2 linked regions of the Yarrowia lipolytica genome follow. The protein of the gene in region 1 interacts with the protein of each later gene in a biochemical or structural test. Links are inferred from orthologs where the notes say so. Each region holds a gene or a part of one and is shown in the gene's direction. Other genes may lie near its edges.

Region 1 (11,464 bases):
GCTGCCTCTGACCAACACGACAAGTTTGCAGTCGGCTCCTCTTGGGGTTCCAATTACGGCAGATGCGTCAACGTATTTGCTCCCGGTACCGACATCCCTTCGCTGCACTGGAAGAATGAGAACCTGGTGTTCTTCGACTCTGGTACTTCTATGAGTGCCCCCTTTGTTTCTGGTCTGGTTCTCTACCACCAGTCCCAGAGCGACAACCCTTTGTCCCCCAAGGACGTGTCTGACAAGATCATCAACTCCAACCCCGGCCAGATCCAGAGCCCCATGCAGGACACCCCCAATGGCCTCGCCTATAATGAGGCTCTGGGCCAGGCTCCTCCTCCTACCACCACCGACCTTGGCCCCAAAATCCCCACCGGCCAGCCTCTTAATTAGAGAGACAGAAAACGAGAGCGAGAGCTAAGAATGCACCACTGAAAAGCCCCCAAATGGCATTATACGCTCCCGCGACGAGCCGCACAGTTTCAAATCTGTCCAAATACGTCCCATGCTGGCCTTCGTCTTTTCCCAACTGCACAGTTGTCCATTCTGCCCACTGTCTCTGCCAAATCCCTTCTTGATTCCCTCCATTATTTAATTCATTCGCCTCAATTGTATTTGCAATCGAACCTGCAACAGTAGCCGCCGTTTCCTGCAAATAAAATCAGCTATCGTACTCGTAGCTGCTGTATCGTAATGTGCCCCATTTTTCGCAGTGTGTGTGATATTTCGCTGCTGCTCATTTACCCACACATGATCAAAAGCCAAATTGGACCCCGTACATAATACGAGCCAATACGAGTGGGTAAAGAGGCGTCATTGATAGCCTTTTGGAGGTGGAAAAACGGTCCCTCCGATGCACGTGATTGACCAGGTCAACCCATATACAACCCGTGGGCCTTTCCTGTCTCAATTGCCCCACGGGAAGCCCTAGTTTTCTTGTCCACACCCCATGAGGTTCATGCATGATTCTGCACCAGGCAACAAGGAAACCTGACACTCTGCCACAAGAGGAGACGTTGAACAAAAATACGTATATATAAGATCGGAGAAGCTGGCCATGGGGCTCTGGAACACCAGCTTGATGCCCCCCTTCCAAACAACCGACTTTGAGGCACTTCAATGTCGCACCATCACCACCACCCCCACCTTCATCAGTTCTCGCTCCACTCCACCCAACCCCGTTTCTCGCCCTCCGACTGCTTTCGGGAGCCTATTGCCTTGGTCGGTGTGCCTGATAACAGCTGGTTACCTTTGGCTCCTAGAACCACCCGTCTGCCGAGTTTTTCCGAACTATTGTGGTCACTGGAAGAAACAGCAAGACCCATGTCTCCAGTATCCTCCGAGCAATCAGGGGACTCTTGCACCACCCTCTGGTCGCTCAACTCCAACCCGGGCTCCTCGCCTGAAGCCCCAAGTGCGCCCAACCCCAACCTTAACTATACTTACGAAAAATACCCATCTACAGTTGAGCCGATTAAACGGAAGTACGAGAACTCGGAGCAGGCTGTGATTGACAAGACTGCCCGGAAAAAGACACGGAAAACACCAGCAGCGTCAACCGTCAAAGCCATTAAGCCAAAAACGACCAAACCACGTGCAAAGAAGACCAAAGGCACAACATCTCCAGCCGACGCTTCCGAATCAGCGGCAGCCAGACCAGCCAGACCCCCTCCAGTCAAACCCCCTCCGCCTACTCCTGAACCAACCCTGGTAGAACAGCTCCTGGAACATGGGCTGTATGAAGGTGCTCAGCAAGACGCGTGCGAACGTCTGTACTGCTCCAAATGCCGCTCGTACGCCAAAAAGACTCGATTCGCAAACGTGGTTCGCCTGGCCACCCATCTTGACGTTAAACATCGGACTTTCCGACTCAAGATCTTCTGCGATCACAAACAGTGTCCTCGCTCCATTGTCGGTTTCGCCAGCAACAAGGAGAAACATGAACATCTCAAGCACATCCACGGACAAGTGCAAGAATAGAGTGAGATAAAGTATAGACGAGAATAGTTATTTATTGAGAGTAGCCAGTGTGTATGGAACAATATGTAGTGACTGAAGAGAAGACAGACGTGAGTATAACACGATAAAATCGGATGCACCCAACTACTTCCCTGCTATGATACCGGTATCACTCTTACAGATGGTGCCTGTTACTGCGAAGACTCATGCCGGACGGTAGCAACCCAGCTGTACTTGTCACGACTACACATACACGCCAATTAGTCATTTCATCCATTATATATCCATACCATCATTGCTGCATTACTGCAGACCCTTGATGACCTCCTCCTGTCGTTGCTTCTGCTTGGCGTCCTCAACGCCGCCCAGAGATCGCACCTGGCCCACAATGTCCCGGGCCTTGCCGAAATACACCTCCTGCAGCTGGTTTCGCAGCTTGGACTCCACGTCCTCAACAATGCTTCCGAGGTTTGCGATATGCTGAGAGGGTTCATCGACAGCCATCTCTCGCTCGGTCTGTCGAGTCAGGTTACCGGAAAGGCCGAGCTTGGGGGACTTGGAGCCCAGATCGAGAATCACGGTGGATGTGACCCGGTAGATCCCCTCTCCACGGCTGGTCTCAACCTCAAAGACGTGGATGGAGTCCCAGGACGACGAGGGCGAGGTCTTCTTGAGCAGCACAACGCCGGCAAAGCTGTTAGTATTGTCTCCTTCGCCCTGGTCCCACAGGTAGACCGAAGAGACTCCTCCCTCGTAGTACAGGTCTCTGTAGATGTCAAAGGAGTCGTTGGCGAGAACCTCGAGTTTGCGCAGAGCCGCCGAGGGCGTGGGGCCGTCTGTTGCGGGCTCGTAGTCGCCGGACCATGGGGATCGGAACGAGTCGCCGTCTCGGTTGTAGTCGCAAGTCAGGTACTCCTTTTTGGTGGATTTGCAGGTCTTGACACCGAGAGGCTGGTCGACGGAAGACAGCAGGTCCTCCGCAAGTTCCGGAGCAATCTTGCACAGGGAATTGAGGTTGACGCTGACGTTTTTGGGATCCAATCGTCGCAGAAGAGACAGAGCAGCGTCGTATTGTTCGTCAGACTGGGTTAGCGATTGCGCGACGGCCGGGGGGAGGAAGATCACGTGGAATCTATGGGGCGCAATGCCACGTGACTGCCATGTTTACTGTCAGTCCGAATTGTGTCTGTTACTCACCATGGTGGACGGTTGGGTATGTACTGTACTGTACTGTTGTGATGATGATGTTCAGATATCCACTGCTGTTAACACCGCATGCATTAGTCGTGCGTTACTACAAGTAGTGGGATTGGGGAAAGTTTATTTTGGGAAAAACGTAGGAACATAAGAAGCAGAAGTAGGGAGCTGGAGGAGGGTGTTGTAGAGTGAGTGTCGCGGGTGTGGGGGTGTCGAGGTTGTTGGAGGAAATGGTGGCATTAATTACCCTTTAAATAGGGCTATAAGTGTTCTAATTGCTATCTGTGGCATTATTTTGTCATGGGTGAAACTAATTTAATTTACCTCAGTTAAGTTTCAAGTAACTCCCGTCTAAAATTTCAAAAGAGAAATTAAAATTTATAGCGAAAATTCAGTTTCTGAATATAACCCAATAAGTAGTTGAAGTGTAAGCTGGGACACGTTTTGACTGGTGGTTGTACTTAAAAAGACCGAATGACACATTGAAGACGGCTGAATGACACACTGATACCGAGCCTCGGGAAACACTTACCAGCATACGACGAAATCCTGACAAATACGGCCTTTCCTTATCTCGAAACACGACCCAAGCACCAAACGCCAATTTGTATTGTCTATACTCCGGAGTTAAATAATTACACCTTCCATCGCGACTTGTAGTTACATTATCAGATTATGTAATACAGAGGTATATTTTATGTATATTTTATGTATATTTTATGTATATTTTATGGACAAGATCTCGACTGATAATGTATACCATCCTACCAACGGAACCGAGCGTCTCAGCATTGTCTACTATATCACCACCCATTCATCTTTCCATCTTCCACCTTGTCTCGCCCTGTTTCACCATCGCCGTGTTCCCTAACCCTATGCATTATCGTGCATGTTCCAACCTACTTGGTGGAGCAACTAACCGTCTTCACGAAACGCACTAGAACGATGAAGAGACTCATTCCGACGGTAATATCGGTATTGCTGGTGTTTCTTACACTCACAAGCCCTGTTCAGTCGGCAGGATGCAGCATATACGGCAACTGTGGAAAGAAATCACTATTCGGCAGCGAACTACCCTGTCCGACACCACAAGACAAGGCTGGTCCGTTTGAGCCTTCCAAGGGGGATCTGGATCTGCTAGGAGAGATCTGCGGCGAGGTTTGGACACACGAGAAACTTTTATGTTGTGATACGGCGCAGATCAAGGATCTGAAGAACTCGCTGAAGAAGGCCGATGGTCTGATTTCATCGTGTCCGGCTTGCAAGTCCAATTTTTACGAATTCTTCTGCAAGTTCACATGTGCCCCTGACCAGCGCGACTACGTTAATGTGACACAACTGGGCAAATCGACAGACGGACGAGATATCGTGACAGAGTTGAGTTACTATGTGAAACCAGAGTGGGCTCAGGGGTTCTACGACTCGTGTAAAGACATCAAGTTCTCGGCGACCAACGGCTACGCCATGGACCTGTTAGGAGGCGGTAGACACGGATACAAGAACTTTCTCAAGTTTCTGGGGGACGAAAAACCCATGCTCGGAGGTTCCCCCTTTCAAATCAACTTCCCCTGGCCCGAAGATGAGAAGGACAAAAACTACCCTCCCAAGGGAATTAAGCCCGTGGAGCCTGTTCTTCGAGACTGTGCAACAGGTGCTTACAAATGTGCATGCAGTGATTGTGAGGGTGCTTGTCCTGAGTTGCCTAACATCAAGAAACATGGAGCTTGCAAGGTTGGACATCTTCCTTGTCTGAGCTTCGCGGTGATCATCATCTACTCAGTGGTTCTTCTCGGCGCAATTGCAGGTTCCTGGTTTGTTCACAGTCATACGCTCTTCTCTGGAGCCACTCTAGAGGACCAGTACATGACTTCCAGATGGTACCAGAACCCCCATGCGTCAGAGAAGTACACCACTTATCCTATCAACCGATTCTTGCAATACTGGGTGTCTCGAATTGCGCTTTTCTGCGCTTCATACCCTGCAGTGACCATTGGTTTTACGGTCACCCTGTCTATTCTCATGTCAGTTGGCTTGACCAGGTTTCAGGTTGAAGAGAACCCAGTAAGATTGTGGGTATCCGAGGATTCTACTCCTTACCTCCAGAAAGAGAACTTTGACAACAATTTCGGCCCCTTCTACCGTACCGCTCAGGTTTACCTTGTCAACACAACAGGAAGCGTGGTCAACCAAGAGAATCTGGTATGGTGGCAGGGAGTCGAACAGCAGATTATCAGCCTACAGGTGGAAGGCACCTCTTTCAATGACTTCTGTCTAAAGCCCACAAACGATGCCTGTGTCATTCAGAGTTACACTCAATATGGAATTAATCTAAACTCTCCAGACTGGGCCACTCAGTTGCAAACTTGCACTTCTTCCGCAGTGCAGTGTCTGCCACCTTTTGGACAGCCTCTCAACATGAATCTGCTATTTGGAGGCTACAATGAGACCTCTCGTGATCCTCTCTCTGCCCAGGCTCTCGTCATTACCCTTGTTGGAGAAGGTTACCTAGAAGATGATCCTCAAGAAGCACGAGCTCAAAAGTGGGAAAAGGGTCTGATTGATGTGCTCCTGGATGTTCAACACGAGGCATGGAGACGAGGTCTACAGCTCTCCTTCTCTACTGAGGCTTCTCTTACTGAAGAGCTGAACAAGAGCACCAACACAGATGTGAAGATTGTTGTCATCTCGTACCTCGTCATGTTCCTCTACGCCTCCATGGCTCTCGGAGGAGGCTCTGGTAAGGCCAAGTTCGGCCTCGGACTCTGTGGTATCATCATTGTGCTTCTGTCTGTAGCAGCTTCTGCTGGCATCTGTGCTGCAATTGGTATCAAGGCCACTCTCATTATTGCGGAGGTTATCCCTTTCCTGGTTCTTGCTGTCGGCGTGGACAACATTTTCCTGCTTTGCCATGAGATGGACGCTGCCAATATCGCCTACCCTAATGACAGTGTTGACACACGAGTCTCCAAGGCTGTAGGCAGAATTGGACCCAGTATTGTCATTTCTGCAATCACTGAGACATTGGCTTTTGGATTGGCTGCGACGGTGAAGATGCCTGCTGTTCGAAACTTTGCCATATACGCTGCTGGTGCGGTGTTTATTAATGCCATTCTGCAGCTGACTATTTTTGTGTCTGTCATGGCACTCGATCAGCGACGACAGTCAGCCCCCATTCAGCTCGCTGACTCCTATGACCTAGACTTTAACATTCTTGAGCATCGAGAGAACCTATTCTCTAGACTTATCCGACGATACTACGCTCCCTTCTTACTCAAGAAGAAGACCAAGAAGATTGTGCTTGCTGTGTTTGGAACTTGGGCTGCTGTCTCTCTGATTCTCTGGCCCATGCTGCAACTTGGGCTTGATCAACGTCTTGCTGTTCCTTCGGATTCTTATCTTGTTCAGTACTTTGATGACATCTATGACTACCTCAATGTAGGCCCTCCTGTCTACTTCGTTGTGTCTGGCCTGAATGCCACTAGCAGAAACGGACAGCAGTCGTTGTGTGGAACATTCACGACTTGTGAGGATTACTCTTTGGTGAACATTGTCGAGCAGGAGAGAAAGCGACCCGAGCTGTCTTACATTAGCGAGCCCGCCTCTTCTTGGATCGACGACTATCTCAAGTGGCTGAATCCAGATCTTGATGAGTGCTGTCGAGTCAAGAAGACCGACAAAGACGTTGCCTGTCCTCCTCGAGCCTCCCCGCGAGCTTGCAACGTTTGTTTCAAGGACAGGGATCCTGCTTGGAATATCACAATGTCTGGTCTGCCCCAGGGACCTGAGTTCATGCATTACTTTGACTTCTGGATCGATGCTCCTTCTGACCCTTGTCCTCTTGGAGGTAAGGCTCCCTACAGTGACGCCGTTGTCTATGACAGTGATGATGTCCTCACGTCCCATTTTAGATCGTTCCACACACCTCTCAGGTCACAAAAGGATTTCATCAATGCGTTAGCAAGTGCCAAGCGTATCTCCAAGGATATTGAGAAGACTCTAGGAGGTACTGAGGGGTCTGTTTATGCTTACTCGCCCTTTTACATTTTCTTCGATCAGTACTCGTACATCATCAAGCAGGCATTTGCCCTGATTGGAGGAGTACTGGCAGCTGTTCTGGTTTTGCTGGCTATCATTATGGGGTCTGTCAAGACATCTTTCACTGTTGTTCTGACAGTGTCACTAATGTTGATAAACATTGTTGGTTTCATGGCCATTTGGAATGTCAATCTGAACGCCATCTCGCTAGTGAACCTTGTTATTTGTGTTGGTCTAGGAGTGGAGTTCTGTGTGCACTTGGCGCGTGCATTTACGACTGTTTCGGCCAATTCTTCGCATATCCGAATGTCTCCCACCAAGAACACCCGTACTTTCGAGGCTCTTGTGGGTGTAGGAGGCTCTGTCTTTGGTGGCATTGCCATGACCAAGTTCCTGGGAGTATTTGTGCTAGCATTCACGCGATCTAAGATCTTCGAAGTTTACTATTTCCGAGTGTGGTTAGCACTGGTCATTGTGGCTACCACCCATAGTCTGATTCTACTGCCGGTGTTGCTCACTTACATTGGAGGCAAGGGATATGTTTATGATGATGGAGAGCAGGATTTGGAGGGAGAGTTGGCTAGTCGGTTCTTGTCTTCCTACGATAATGACACTGAAGAGGAGGACTAACTTATAGATGATATGATTGATAAACGAATTTTTCCCGGCTGTTAGCCGCTAGCTAGTGTATTTTAGTCGCTTAGGATAGTCGGCGTGCGTAGAACAATGGCGTAAAATTGTTTCTAGAGTGATATACGAACAATCTAGTTCGGTATGAACCCCAACCCAGTATGCACTAGTAGGGAGAGTTGCCAGTTCCGTAAAAAGTAAACGACTCGGTTGTTCAATAGGACCCTGTTCTGTCAAAACAGGGGCTGGAGGGTACGTTCTAAGCGAGTATTGTATTTTAAGAAGTCCGAACAATAGGGATGCGCATTACAAGGGACTAACGACACGCTAATGCAATGCACAGTACAGTACAGTACACTACAGTAGTGTAATTGGTTGACACAGCTTCCACTGACAACACCAATGCACGCCTAGATCCATTCTACACACAAGATGTTCATTATTGGATTTTTCACAGTCCGACTACTATGCTGAAATCGAAAGATGCAGCATTGACGACTGCGAATAGAAGCTGTGACATTATGGTGGTGCGGCAAAATGTACAGTACACTTGCGGTATTGCCGATTGCACTGTTCATACAGTACTACTGTACACAAGCTGTACCCGATGGTGTGTGTCCACAAAGGTCATCAACGGAGGATTGGTGAATCGACTATTTCAAAGTAGTGTCTTCATATTTGAACCCATTGTAAAACGCCGCTCAACGCTTTTCATGCAGTAAAATTAATTTATCGGTCGTAAGCGGTATACTAATGTACTCTCATAGAGTCTGGACGGCACTGGAACATCGAGCCGGGTGAGATCGTACGATTTTTTTTATGCATGGGGTTAACATTTATTTAGGTTGCATAATACATGCAAGTTAGCGAGTCCACCTAAACCCACAACACAACGAGGAGAGCGACAGATATGTCATTACGCTGACACACACAACCGTCCTGATACCACAATTTCTGACTAAGCTCCTTTTGTCAAATTTCCCCCAATTGATTCGATAATCGCTTTGACAACGCTTGTTTCTGCAGCCTATCGACTGATACCAATGCATACGTAGCGATCCAACGCTTGCGACACATGCTCCGTAGAACTCCACTTGCACGCAGTTTAAGGGTAGACTCGAATTGGCATAAGTGGGCTTACAAGCGATAATTACGCTCTCTATCATACCCTCCACAGTAGACTACTGCACCATTACTGTACATCGGCGGGACTAGTTGCGCCCGAGAGAACAGTAGCGAACGAAAAGCAGATCACACTACTGCAGGTAAGGAGGCAAAACTCCGACACATACGCTGCATCCAAGGGTGAGTATGGGCCATGGCAGCTCGACTTATATATATTTGAAGGGAGCGGCCAAGCTAGCCTAACCTCACACACAAATGCTTACTCACTACTTCATTGCGGCCCTTTTTCTGGCCACGTTCGTTTGGGCGGGAAGCGCCTTGAACAACCCTATCACCGGAATCAAGGCACAGCTCTCAAATAATCGGACTGGCCCTGGCTATTACTGGGACACCTGGGAAGTTGTGGTCGACTTCGCTTTCAACAAGTACTCCCTCGAAGACATCAGAGGTGGTGATTTCTTCGGCTTCACTCTTGCGGGAAAACAGCTCAATCCCCGTGGTCCCAAGGACAAGGTTCCAGTCGATTATGACTTCTACATTGTCAACTATGACGGGCGGAGACTTTTCCATGTCACTACAACAAGCGATTCTTACAACTTCCGAGCTACCGCGACCAGCGTATTCGACAACCCCTCAATGGAGGTTCTTGAGCTCTCTGGACAGCTCACTGTCGAGTTTCTGGTCAAGCCCAACTCACCTGTTGGACTGTCAGATGTTTCTATTGGCCCTTGGTCCAGCAGCATCAATCTTGAGGATCCAGACATGGCTGACGCTGATGCAGGAGCTTGCTGGTGGAATATTGACAGCTACCAACCGGCAAACAATGGAAACTCTCAAAAAATCTGTGCTCAACAAGGCCTTCCATATCCCCCCAGTGGTTATGGAAGGGCATATCTGAAGACTATCATACATCCTATGTACACCAAGGTTGTCACTGGACTCACTGCCGGCTCGGAGACTCTTGTGGACGACAGAAATATTCCATATGAGCGGGTTACTACCACTCCTGCAAGCACAATTACAGTCGCTGGCTATGAAACTGGCTTGGAGTTCTTCGAGTCCGTTGGCAGCATCTTCGAGCGAACTACTGAAACTCCTGCATACACCACTACAGTGGAAGGTCTCAAGGCTGGTTCCGAATTTCTGACAAATTCTGAGCACGTCCTGTACGAGCAGGTAACGGCAATTCCGGCCTTCACTTCTACAATTGCTGGATATGAGGCAGGCTCTCAGCTCCTCGTTGATCCTCTCAATGGTGTTGTCTTCAAGCAGATCACTATCACTCCTGTTTCTACTTCCACTGTGGTAGGACATGTGGTGGGTACCGAGTTGCTCAATGACTCCGAGGGCATTCTCTATGAGCAGATTACTGTTACGCCCGCATTCACCACCACCATCCCTGGACATCAGGCTGGATCCCAGTTCTTGTCCAATCCGGTTGATGGTGTGATTTTTGAACAGGTTACTGAGACACCAGCTTTCACTACCACAGTTCCTGGTCATAGAGCGGGGTCCCAGTTCACCGTTGATTCAAATGGTACCATTTTCGAACAAGTTACTGTCACTCCTGTGAGCACTTCTACTGTTCCTGGACACAAGATGGGCTCTGAGTTCGTGTGGGATGTTATGGATGGTGTTTTTGCTGAGCGGGTCACTGTAACTCCTGCTTTCACCTCTACGATTGCAGGCCATGAGGCCGGTTCTGAGTTTGTGACTAACGGTACCCATGTTTTGTATGAGCGGGTCACGGCTACTCCTGTCTTCACGTCCACTGTTTCAGGCCACAGAGCTGGCTCTGAGTTCACTGCGGATGCCCTTGGAAACATCTATGAGCGAGTTACCATTGCGCCTGCCTACACTTCTGTCGTTCCTGGACATGAACCAGGTTCCGAGTTCCTGGATGGCTCAGATGGCAACTTCTACGAGCGAGTTACTACGACTCCTGCGAGAACAGTGACTGTTCCTGGGCATGAGGAAGGTTTCCAGTTCTTGTCAGACTTCAATGATGGCGAATTTATAGAGCAATTGACCATCACTCCGGCTTTCACCGTCACTGTCACGGCACACAAAGCAGGTGCTGAGTTTGTAACTAATGCTGATAATGTTCTTTATGAGCAAGTTACTGTCTCGCCAGCTTCAACCACTACAGTAGTAGGTCACGAGGCCGGCTCAGAGTATTTGCAGGACCCTGAAGGAGTCATTTTTGTGCAGGTTACTGTGACCCCCGCATTCACTTCCACCGTGACTGGACACACAGCAGGCTCCGAGTTCCGTACGAGAGGAGACGGTGTTTTTTATGAGCTGTTCACCGCCACCCCTGTCCATGTCACCACAGTAACTGGCCACATGGGCGGTTCTGAGTTTTTGGAGAACTTGCAAGGTGATATTTTCGAACAGGTTACGGTTACCCCAGTCTTCACGGCGACCGTGATAGGACACAAGAATGGATCTGAGTTTCTGAAGGACTCTAATGGCACCATCTTCGAGCGGGTTACTGTGACTCCAGCTTTCACGTCTACAGTCACTG
Region 2 (8,625 bases), on another chromosome or scaffold:
GAAACGAAATAATAAAACCCTGTTCACTATTCCAAAATCCAGCAGTTTACTTCCTGACCCAGATCAAGAGTTGTGCCTAGACTTGACTCTGGCATGCGATAGGTATAGTACACCTTCCTGAGCCACTCTGGCCCATATAACGTCATTATCAATGCATGGATATTACTACAATACTATAAATTAATCAAAACGTCCTCGTAACCAAACTAAAAGTCGTCATCGTCAGGTTCATCTTCCTTGACACCCTCCAGGACCTTGACTAGGGTCATGACGCAAACCTCCAGGTTCACCACCAGATACTCGGATTGTCAGGAGGCAGCGATTTCTTCTCGCGGGCGTGGAGGACCCATAATGACGCTCATATCTGTCGCCCCAATGGCCCCTAGACCAGTATCAGTCATGGCAGACCATCCACTGTTGATCATGTTGTCAATTCTCATCTCCTGATGGTCCAACCAAGCCTTGGAGAAGGACCAACAGTGAACTTGGCCAGCAATGACTCCAAACACAGAGATGGGCTTAACAGACATAACAGATAGCGTTTCTGTGTCCAGGAACCGGTTGCGGGTCTTGATATATCTTCCAGTCATAATGTCGCTCGTGGCATGCGAAAAGAGATCCTTTTGAGGGCCGTCCCCACACACGTTTCGAATGTACATGGCCGAGGCATTTTTTGTGTCGAGATACCACTCTTGGATGCTTGTGTTTTCGCTCATGTCGTCTTCCTCCGTCACAGTGAGCCACAACAGTCCCTTGACGACAGCCACACAGGTCACATGGCCCGTGGGTCCTCCCTTGATGATTCTGCATGTCATTTGTTCGTAGTCACACAGCAGAAGCATTTCCAGTTTGAATCTCCAAACGCGCACGAGCGAGAACCGATCACACAATTGCGCCACTCTCAAGTTGTCGATATCTGTCAAGCATCTGGGCAGCTTGAGATCCGTAATTTTACCTCTACCGACTCTTCGGAGAGCTAGAGGGGTTCCATCTCGTCCCGTGAGCTGGTAACTGAGTCTCTGATCAGCAATATCAAAGACCAGAACGGGAGCTTGGCGTGAGGACGCCAGAAAGTCCCGATCAGGGTTCATGTGGAAGTACTCCGTCTTCTGTAGCACGTGGGGAAGTCTTAACAGTGTGTTTGCGGGGATTGTGTTTTCAACATGGACACCTCCGGTAATGAGATTAAGGGAGAAAACGACATGTGTTTGTCGTTCGCCAACACCCACAGTCTTGCACCATCTGAGTCTCAAGCCCTCAGAGGCCCATCTGTTGAGAGGAGCGGCATCCGAGTCTTTAAACAGCTGTTTGATGTTTGTGTCCAACGGCAGGTACTGGTCGTGATGCTGGACAATGTCCACATGTTCCGAGAGTGTTTTTGTCGGCGTGGGGACGTCCATTGTCTGTCTGAAGGCTCTGGATTTTCTGATTGCGGTCTCAACCCTCAGCTTGGCCGCTGAAAGATGATCTGGTCGGCCCTCAAGATGTGGGTTTTGCAGCGGGAACAAATGTGTCGAGAGCCCCGAGTAGTGTTCGCGACTGTCAACCAGGGCAGCGTGGAGATAGCGGCTGGTGCGCATCAGGTTGAGAATCTCCTGGGGGTTGTCCAGTCCCACGTAGTATGCGATTTGGTGTATGATTTCGAGCGGCAGAGCAAGCATTGGAGAGGCGTGGGGCTGTAAGGGGCTGTGGGCAGGCTGTTAAGTATGAGTCGTATGCCCCTGGTTACTGCCAGTTTCTGGGGTTGGTGGAAAATATGGGGATGGAGAAGGTGGGACGGAAAGAGGAAGCTGGGAGGGTTGTGCAGATGGGGATCGGAGAGAATCGCGGGGACAAGTCGTATTGAGATGAAAGTTTGATCGTTCGATAGCTACAAAGTCGACTAGTCCGAATTTAAGGCCACAATGACTTATTTGTTTTGGCATCGATTTATTGGCGATGTGTCTGCACCGCACCCATAAGCTTCAGGACCTCATTAGTGTGCAGCAACCATGTGTGATAGCGTGATCTGCGCATGGCTGGCGGGAGGCGAGCAATCGGGCAGGGTAACCGCAGTTGATGGGGGAAAGATTGCGGTGGAAACGAAGGCACCGGTCTTTAAACTACCGTGGAGGACCCGTCTTCAAGAGGAAGTTGCTGCCAAAGTTGCTGCCAAAGGCCCCACCTGACAATAAGCGTCAGCTGACGGGATTTACAGAAAATGTGGAGCTACTTGTAGATAGAGGTTGAGTGGGCTAATATCTAATATATGACGCCTTAGTGTTGGTGGAGTGGGGGCAATTGGAGCGAATGGGTGGTGTAAAATGGGGAAATTCCGAATGAAAGGTAAAAGTAATGAATAACACTGGTTTTGGGGACCTTTTGGTGGCGCTATTTTGCATCTACCGCCGCTTTGGATGCTTCCTAAATTGTTGGCGATTTTACTCGATTTTTCCCTAACAATTCCCTTTCCGTCAAAGTTCAATTAGTCCCAATTAGGCGCGAGGATGACGTCATTTGGGTGAGATTTACGACGGTGAGGAAGAGATACAAATGGTCGAATGTTTGAACAAGATGTAAAGTACGAGTACGAGTACGGGTACGATACTGGACTATCAGGGGTGTACTTTGTAGTTGGCGGTTAACAGGATGCGCCAGCGATCTGGAAGCTGCTGTAGAATGGGGAAAGTAGCTTGGAGGTGACTGGGGCTGTATAGAGGCATTAAAGACACTGGAGCACTGGAGCACTGGAGGCATTAGCGGTATTAATGCTCGTTAGAATCACGTCCGTCTTGAATATCTTCAGTGCAGGTTAGATCCTTTGCCTTTCCCTCTCTTTCCCTCTGCTACTTCGCGGTTATGGACTCCTTCCGTCGTTTGCGCGACCCCAACGTCTTTAACAGTATCGCTCAATGTCCTCCATTGCCTTGACCAAGGCCCGCGACTTGATGTTCATCAAATCAATCCAACAGAGCAAGGGAGTGAGCAGGGACTCAAACTTCTCCACCAGAAGCTGCAGAGACGGGTTCGGCACAGATCTCGACATAGGAACGCGAGAGTTGAACAGGTTCCCACAGCATCAATTCGAATCGGATCATCTTCTTGAATCCCGAGCCGAAATGGTCGAAACCGTTATCTGAGCTGCGCTCGCTGTAAAAGAGAACTTGTTAAGCGTCACGGGATCGTCATTTGTTTTTCGTGGCTTTCTTTGAACGAACCGCTAGGCTTGGTGGGAGTAGGCTTATTCAAATCCAGCATCTCGTCCTTGGTCGCTTTCATTCGACGTTTAATCATTCAGCCCGTTGAAACTGCATGATAAGTGGAGAAGGAGGAGCAGAATGTCAGAGTAGCAGAATGTGAGAGTAGCAAAATGTCAGAGTAACCGCAGAAGTTGACATATATTATGAACAGGGTCACTCAGAATCTCGACTAAAGTCCCGCGGAACGCAACACCATTGGAAAGCGACTTCTCCTTGAGAATAGGTAGACTAGGGCGAGGGAATCTGACCAGAGACTCAGTATTCAAAAGTTCCGCAATTAAAGAAGATACGAAATGGGATTGGGGAGAGCTCTCTATCGATATGTCCGACATATGGTCGCCATGGATGGTATTCACTGGATATATCTTCTCTTCTGTACCTTCTGTGTTCTCTCTCCACTGCCCACGTGATACGGCACTTCCCTTACAATCACCTATATTTCAACTTCATCTCCGGACCTGCATATCTGCAACTTCGTAGACTCCAAAAGGCTTATACCGTCAAAAACGCAGATATTACCGTGACACCATACCAATATTGTTCAACCGATGAAATCCCCTCGAAAACGTGATCATTTTGGTACCACATGAGCCCCACCAGTCTCATTAAAAACAGCCCCTTGCGTGGGTTCCGTTCGCCTTATGAGGCTGACATGTATCTCAGCACAGCCGTCCCAAGGTGATTTGGACCTACAGTAGTTACACTGTACCAAAGCGACCACCAGAAAGGGCTTTTGCCGACTTCTGAAGTCCAAAGCGAGGTCTAGCGAGGTTTAAATCGGCCCCAACACGGTTGCAAAACACTTTAAACCCGCTCTTAATCGCTGGTGTCCTTTTTTCTCCCTCTCTTATACTCCTGTCGATGCTGTATCTGGGTCTGAGACAGCCTATCTCGGCTGATATCAGATGGAGGAACTTTAGGACGAGGTTGCATGAGGGGGATTCATTGGCCAAAAGGAGGAGTTTATAACTTTTTTAAAAATATATAAAAATTAAAATATGAACGAAAACATCGCTCTCAATTTATGGGAAATTTTTGTGATTTAATACAAAATGTTTTCCCGCCATTAGAACCCCCACCTCTCCCCGCTAATAAAGTTAGATTAACGCCACCGCTGCATATTCGACGTGCTAACATTGCTGATGAGCCTCTTTTTCTCCTCCTCCACAACAACACATCACATCACACTCCACACCATGAAACTGTCCATTCTGCCTTTGATCGCCCTCGCCACGGCCGTGGTCGCCTCGCCCGCGCCCGATGCAAACTCCATGAAGCTCATGAACCAGGCCAAGGACTTCGGCATGTCGGTTGCCCAGGGAGGACTCAAGGACATTGCAAAGACCCTGGACGACGAAGACATCCCCGGAGACTCGCCCATCTCGCTGTGCGACGCCGAATACGAGCAGCTGCTGGAAATCAAACACCTGTCCATCGACCCCAACCCCCCGGCCAAGGGCCAGAACCTCACCATCGAGGCGTCCGGATACCTCTACGAGGACGTTGAGGAGGGCGCCTACATCGAGGTCGAGGTGCGATACGGCTACATCCGGCTCATCAGCCAGACTCTGGACCTGTGCGAGCAGTCCGAACAGGTCGACTGGTCCTGCCCCATTAAGGCCGGCGACCTCAAGCTCAACAAGCAAATTGAGCTGCCCAACGAGATTCCTCCCGGAAAGTACGTTGCCGTCGCCCGAGCCTACACCGTTGATGACGATCTCATCACCTGTCTTCTTACCACTGTTACCTTCCCTGCTTCTTTGTAGGTCGAATGATAACAGCATAGTATGGCGTCCCCCCTCAGTACCGCGCACAACTAACTGCATATAATTGATGAATGATGACTATTTTAGAGTGGGGGAGAAGCTAGCCAAGAGTCCAGGGCTGTTGAGAATCTTGGAGACAAACTGTGCTATGGCAAACGGTACTGTAGACATGTTCACACGGGCAGCATGAAAGCTTACCAGCTAGCTGAGGTTATCTACAGGTGCAAGTATCGTATGTACTTGTAGTTGGTTGCTACATAGTTGGGTATGTTTTAATACTGATATCGAAACATTCATAGTAGTTATTCGGTCTGAAAAAACAACAGCTTGATTGAGCATGGAACTCGATCTTCCTAGAAGTTGGAAGAGACGCCAGCATACACAGATGGTAGATCTACCCTACACTTCGATGAGTTTCAGACCATTCGCGAGAACTATTCAGTTTACTCACTTTCTACAAGTACACCCACTGACTCGAACCCGGACCCGCCAAAGAACAACCGACAAGGCTGTATCTAGATTTAAAACACTATCTGCAAGCGGATTTCGACAAGCGGATTTATCCAACATGGAGCTCTTCCCATGTTTGATGGTCGTGCCCCGGTCGTGCCCCGAGTCGCATGCCAGGTATGTTGCCCGTAGCTACCTGTACACTCATTGAATAGACCTCTACCAGACATGTTGAAACCATAAGCACTCACGATCTACGCTCATGTGCCTGCGTTCTTCATATCTGCTCAATAATTGCTCAACCGTCTCAGATACCTACATTATCTGTCTGCGTTATCTCAACCTTTAGGTCGATTAGATATTTGCTCATGCAACGGCGATGGTATTCTAACTGTAAGGTTGCTGTCTACAGACTGAGGAGTACTCATCAGGGGTGTGTATATATCATATGTTCATATTTATCATGCACCGGAGTTCGGTGTTGTGTCACAAGTACTCAAAATATAAAAAAGTACCAGTGGTTGGTCATGTCTGCATTCAGCATGGTCGAGTCCTTGATCCCACTTAAGAAGTGCTGGCAAGAAGAGGAGCGTCAGAGTCCACAGACTCTCGGTTCTCGGCCGCGGTGTTGGCCGAGTTGGGCATGCTGTTGGTGCCGTACTGGGAGCTCTTGTTAGTGCCCTGGCCCTCAACGTTCATATCAGCGGAGTAAACAGCCGAGGCTCGCTGGAAGAGTCGGTCCTCGTCGTCGTTCTGAGGAAGTCGAGTAAACTTCTTGGACTGCCACGCTCGAGGGTACAGGGGGTTGTAGCCAGTCTTCTCCTTGACCAAAGACACGTAGACGGCCACAATGATGAAGATCCAGTAAAAGTTGTAGGAGATGACAGAGCCGTAGGTGGCCGAGTTGGTCCATCCAAACAGCGCGTTGGCAATCATCCATCCTCCATCGGTCTGACCGTTGCAGCAGTTGACGTGCCACACGGACTTGGTGATGTCGTAGGAGCCGGGTCCAGAGCCGGTCTCAGATACGTCCATACCAACTCTGTTAACGAACTGCTGCAGCTCCAGGAACCACACTCCACGGGAGAAAAGACCGGCGGCCACCAGGTACAGGAAGCACGTGGAGCCAATGAGGAAGTAGTTGATGGAGATGGCGTTGCCATACTTGTACATGGCGTAACCAATGAAAGCACCAAGGGCAATGGCGGTGATGACGGGAAGGGGGAAAGCAGAGAAAGGCTGGTTGACACCGATACCGCCGAGGAAAACCACGGCCTCCATTCCCTCTCGAAGGGTGGTCACAAACGGTAGGATGGCCAGAGCGTACTTTCGAGACAGGTACTTGAGGCCCCAGCCGCCGTGGCCCTCGTGGGTCTCGACCAGAATCTTGGCAATCTTGTGTCGCCACTTTTCTCGCATCTTGTTGATTCGCAGCATGGCGGCTCCCATGATGGTGATAATGATGGACGAGACAATGGAGAAGACGCCCTCCCACACGTTCTCAGTCATGCCCCACAGATCGTGTCCGTAGATGTAAAAGGTGGCAATGAACGCACCTCCCACGGCCAGACAGATGAGCAGACCGAAGATTCCACCCAGCCATACCTGGGTAACAAGCCGTCGATACACTTGCAAGTCCTTCTGGGACACATTATCGCCCAGACCCTGGTTGAGGAACGCCAGAAGCACGGAGATGATAATCGCCGTCTCAATGGTCTCTCGGAAGATGATGAAGAAGACCTGAACCGAGAAATAATTCTCGAAAAAGTCCGCGTAGTTGACCATGTTGTGTTGTGGAGTACAACCTGGAAAGAGTGAGTCTGGTAATTAAAAGCGACTTTTCAAAATAAGCTCCGTAGGGGTTAGAGTTGGGCGGCGTGGTGGTGGACATTTATCAAGGGGCAATCGGGGGTTATAGGGGCGGAATTTGAACGCAAAAAACAGATCATCCCACTACTAACGCGACAATAAATAGATTCAAAACATCTCCCGTTCAATTTGGCCGTCCCTATAGCTCTTTAAACGCCTCTCTTATCTGATGTTGCTCCATCTGATAACTGCACAACCTAATTATCCGGAGCCTATTTTTCTGCGTATAACCGTAACGGAGGAAACAACAAAACGGTGGCAACAGCTCCCAGAATCGTCGCAAACCGGGAAGTAAAAGGCGAAAATTCCTCACAGTCACGTGAGAAGTTTGTGCCCGTCACATGATGTCCAGGGTTCCGTCTTGGGTTCCTGGTACCCTGTTATTTCGCCATCCCATCACTCCGCCACCCCACACACCCATAACCCTTGACTAGCACGGCTCATTAACAAAAAGGCAAAAGGGAAGCATCGTCACGTTGCGGCTAATTGGAAGTGTATGGAGGAATCAATTTAGAGAAGTTTGGCGCAGTCCGATCAAAGCACAAGTGGCATAGAACGACTCCTCAGAACGAGCCAATCAAAAACGGTATGTTTTTCTCCCACATTGGACTCTTATTAAGCAACTAGAACTCCACCGAAACTGATTCGGAGCGAATCTACCTTGCACCTGAGTTCCGTTATAAAGTGGAATGTTCATCTCCGACAACAGAACTCACACAACTTGCCCAATTGAGCTCCGATTGGGCCGCCAGAAATTTCAGTACATCTGCTGTCCCTCGCTGACCATTTCTATATATAAATATTGCCATTGTACCCCGTCAAAACAGACACAGACTAGAACTAGGCATTGCCAAAGTTTACAGCAATACCCTGCACTCTTGCAACAGAACATACACTAAACATGCGCGACAATGGTTTAGAACGGCGCTCGGGGTTTCTCCTTTCCTTTTTATCCGCATTAGTCACGTGCGGCCAAGACTTTCCACCCTCAACTGCATACTATCTGCGTCCCCGTTAGCCACTTTGAGTGCAACTACGGTGGGTCTGTTTAGTCCAGATCGTCTTCTCAACAGGGTTGTATTTTGTAGTTAGTTGCAAGGAGGTAAAAGACTATAAACCCGAAAGACCTTGTTTGTGAATGCGAATCCACGTGAGTTCACGTGGTTGGCACGTGGCTGTATGCCTACGACTGTTCTGGTCAGGCTGTCACTTGTGCATTCTTTTTTTTTCCTTTCTTTTGTCGAGTTCGTTAGCAACATGCACTCGGAGTCCGAGCGGAGCTACAAGCACTCACCAAGGAA

The links.
Region 2: the proteins of YALI1_C28716g (region 1) and YALI1_A05003g form a complex in vitro, tested with the Saccharomyces cerevisiae proteins (2 studies listed by BioGRID). The link is inferred for Yarrowia lipolytica from reciprocal best matches to the Saccharomyces cerevisiae genes NCR1 and NPC2.

The regions. Positions count from the first base shown.
Region 1 is NC_090772.1:2,867,587-2,879,050, forward strand, and holds YALI1_C28716g (uncharacterized protein), read left to right. Parts: upstream 1-4,092; coding exon 4,093-7,812; downstream 7,813-11,464. Other genes in the region: YALI1_C28664g (uncharacterized protein), read left to right, coding at 1-384; YALI1_C28686g (uncharacterized protein), read left to right, coding at 1,111-1,971; YALI1_C28706g (uncharacterized protein), read right to left, coding at 2,254-3,033, 3,148-3,150; YALI1_C28767g (uncharacterized protein), read left to right, coding at 9,193-11,464. UniProt on the Saccharomyces cerevisiae protein: Involved in sphingolipid trafficking. May recycle sphingolipids between cellular membranous compartments.
Region 2 is NC_090770.1:495,954-504,578, forward strand, and holds YALI1_A05003g (uncharacterized protein), read left to right. Parts: upstream 1-4,381; coding exon 4,382-5,005; downstream 5,006-8,625. Other genes in the region: YALI1_A04976g (uncharacterized protein), read right to left, coding at 309-1,661; YALI1_A04983g (uncharacterized protein), read right to left, coding at 2,192-2,435, 2,492-2,736; YALI1_A04990g (uncharacterized protein), read right to left, coding at 2,973-3,129, 3,194-3,273; YALI1_A05031g (uncharacterized protein), read right to left, coding at 6,020-7,240.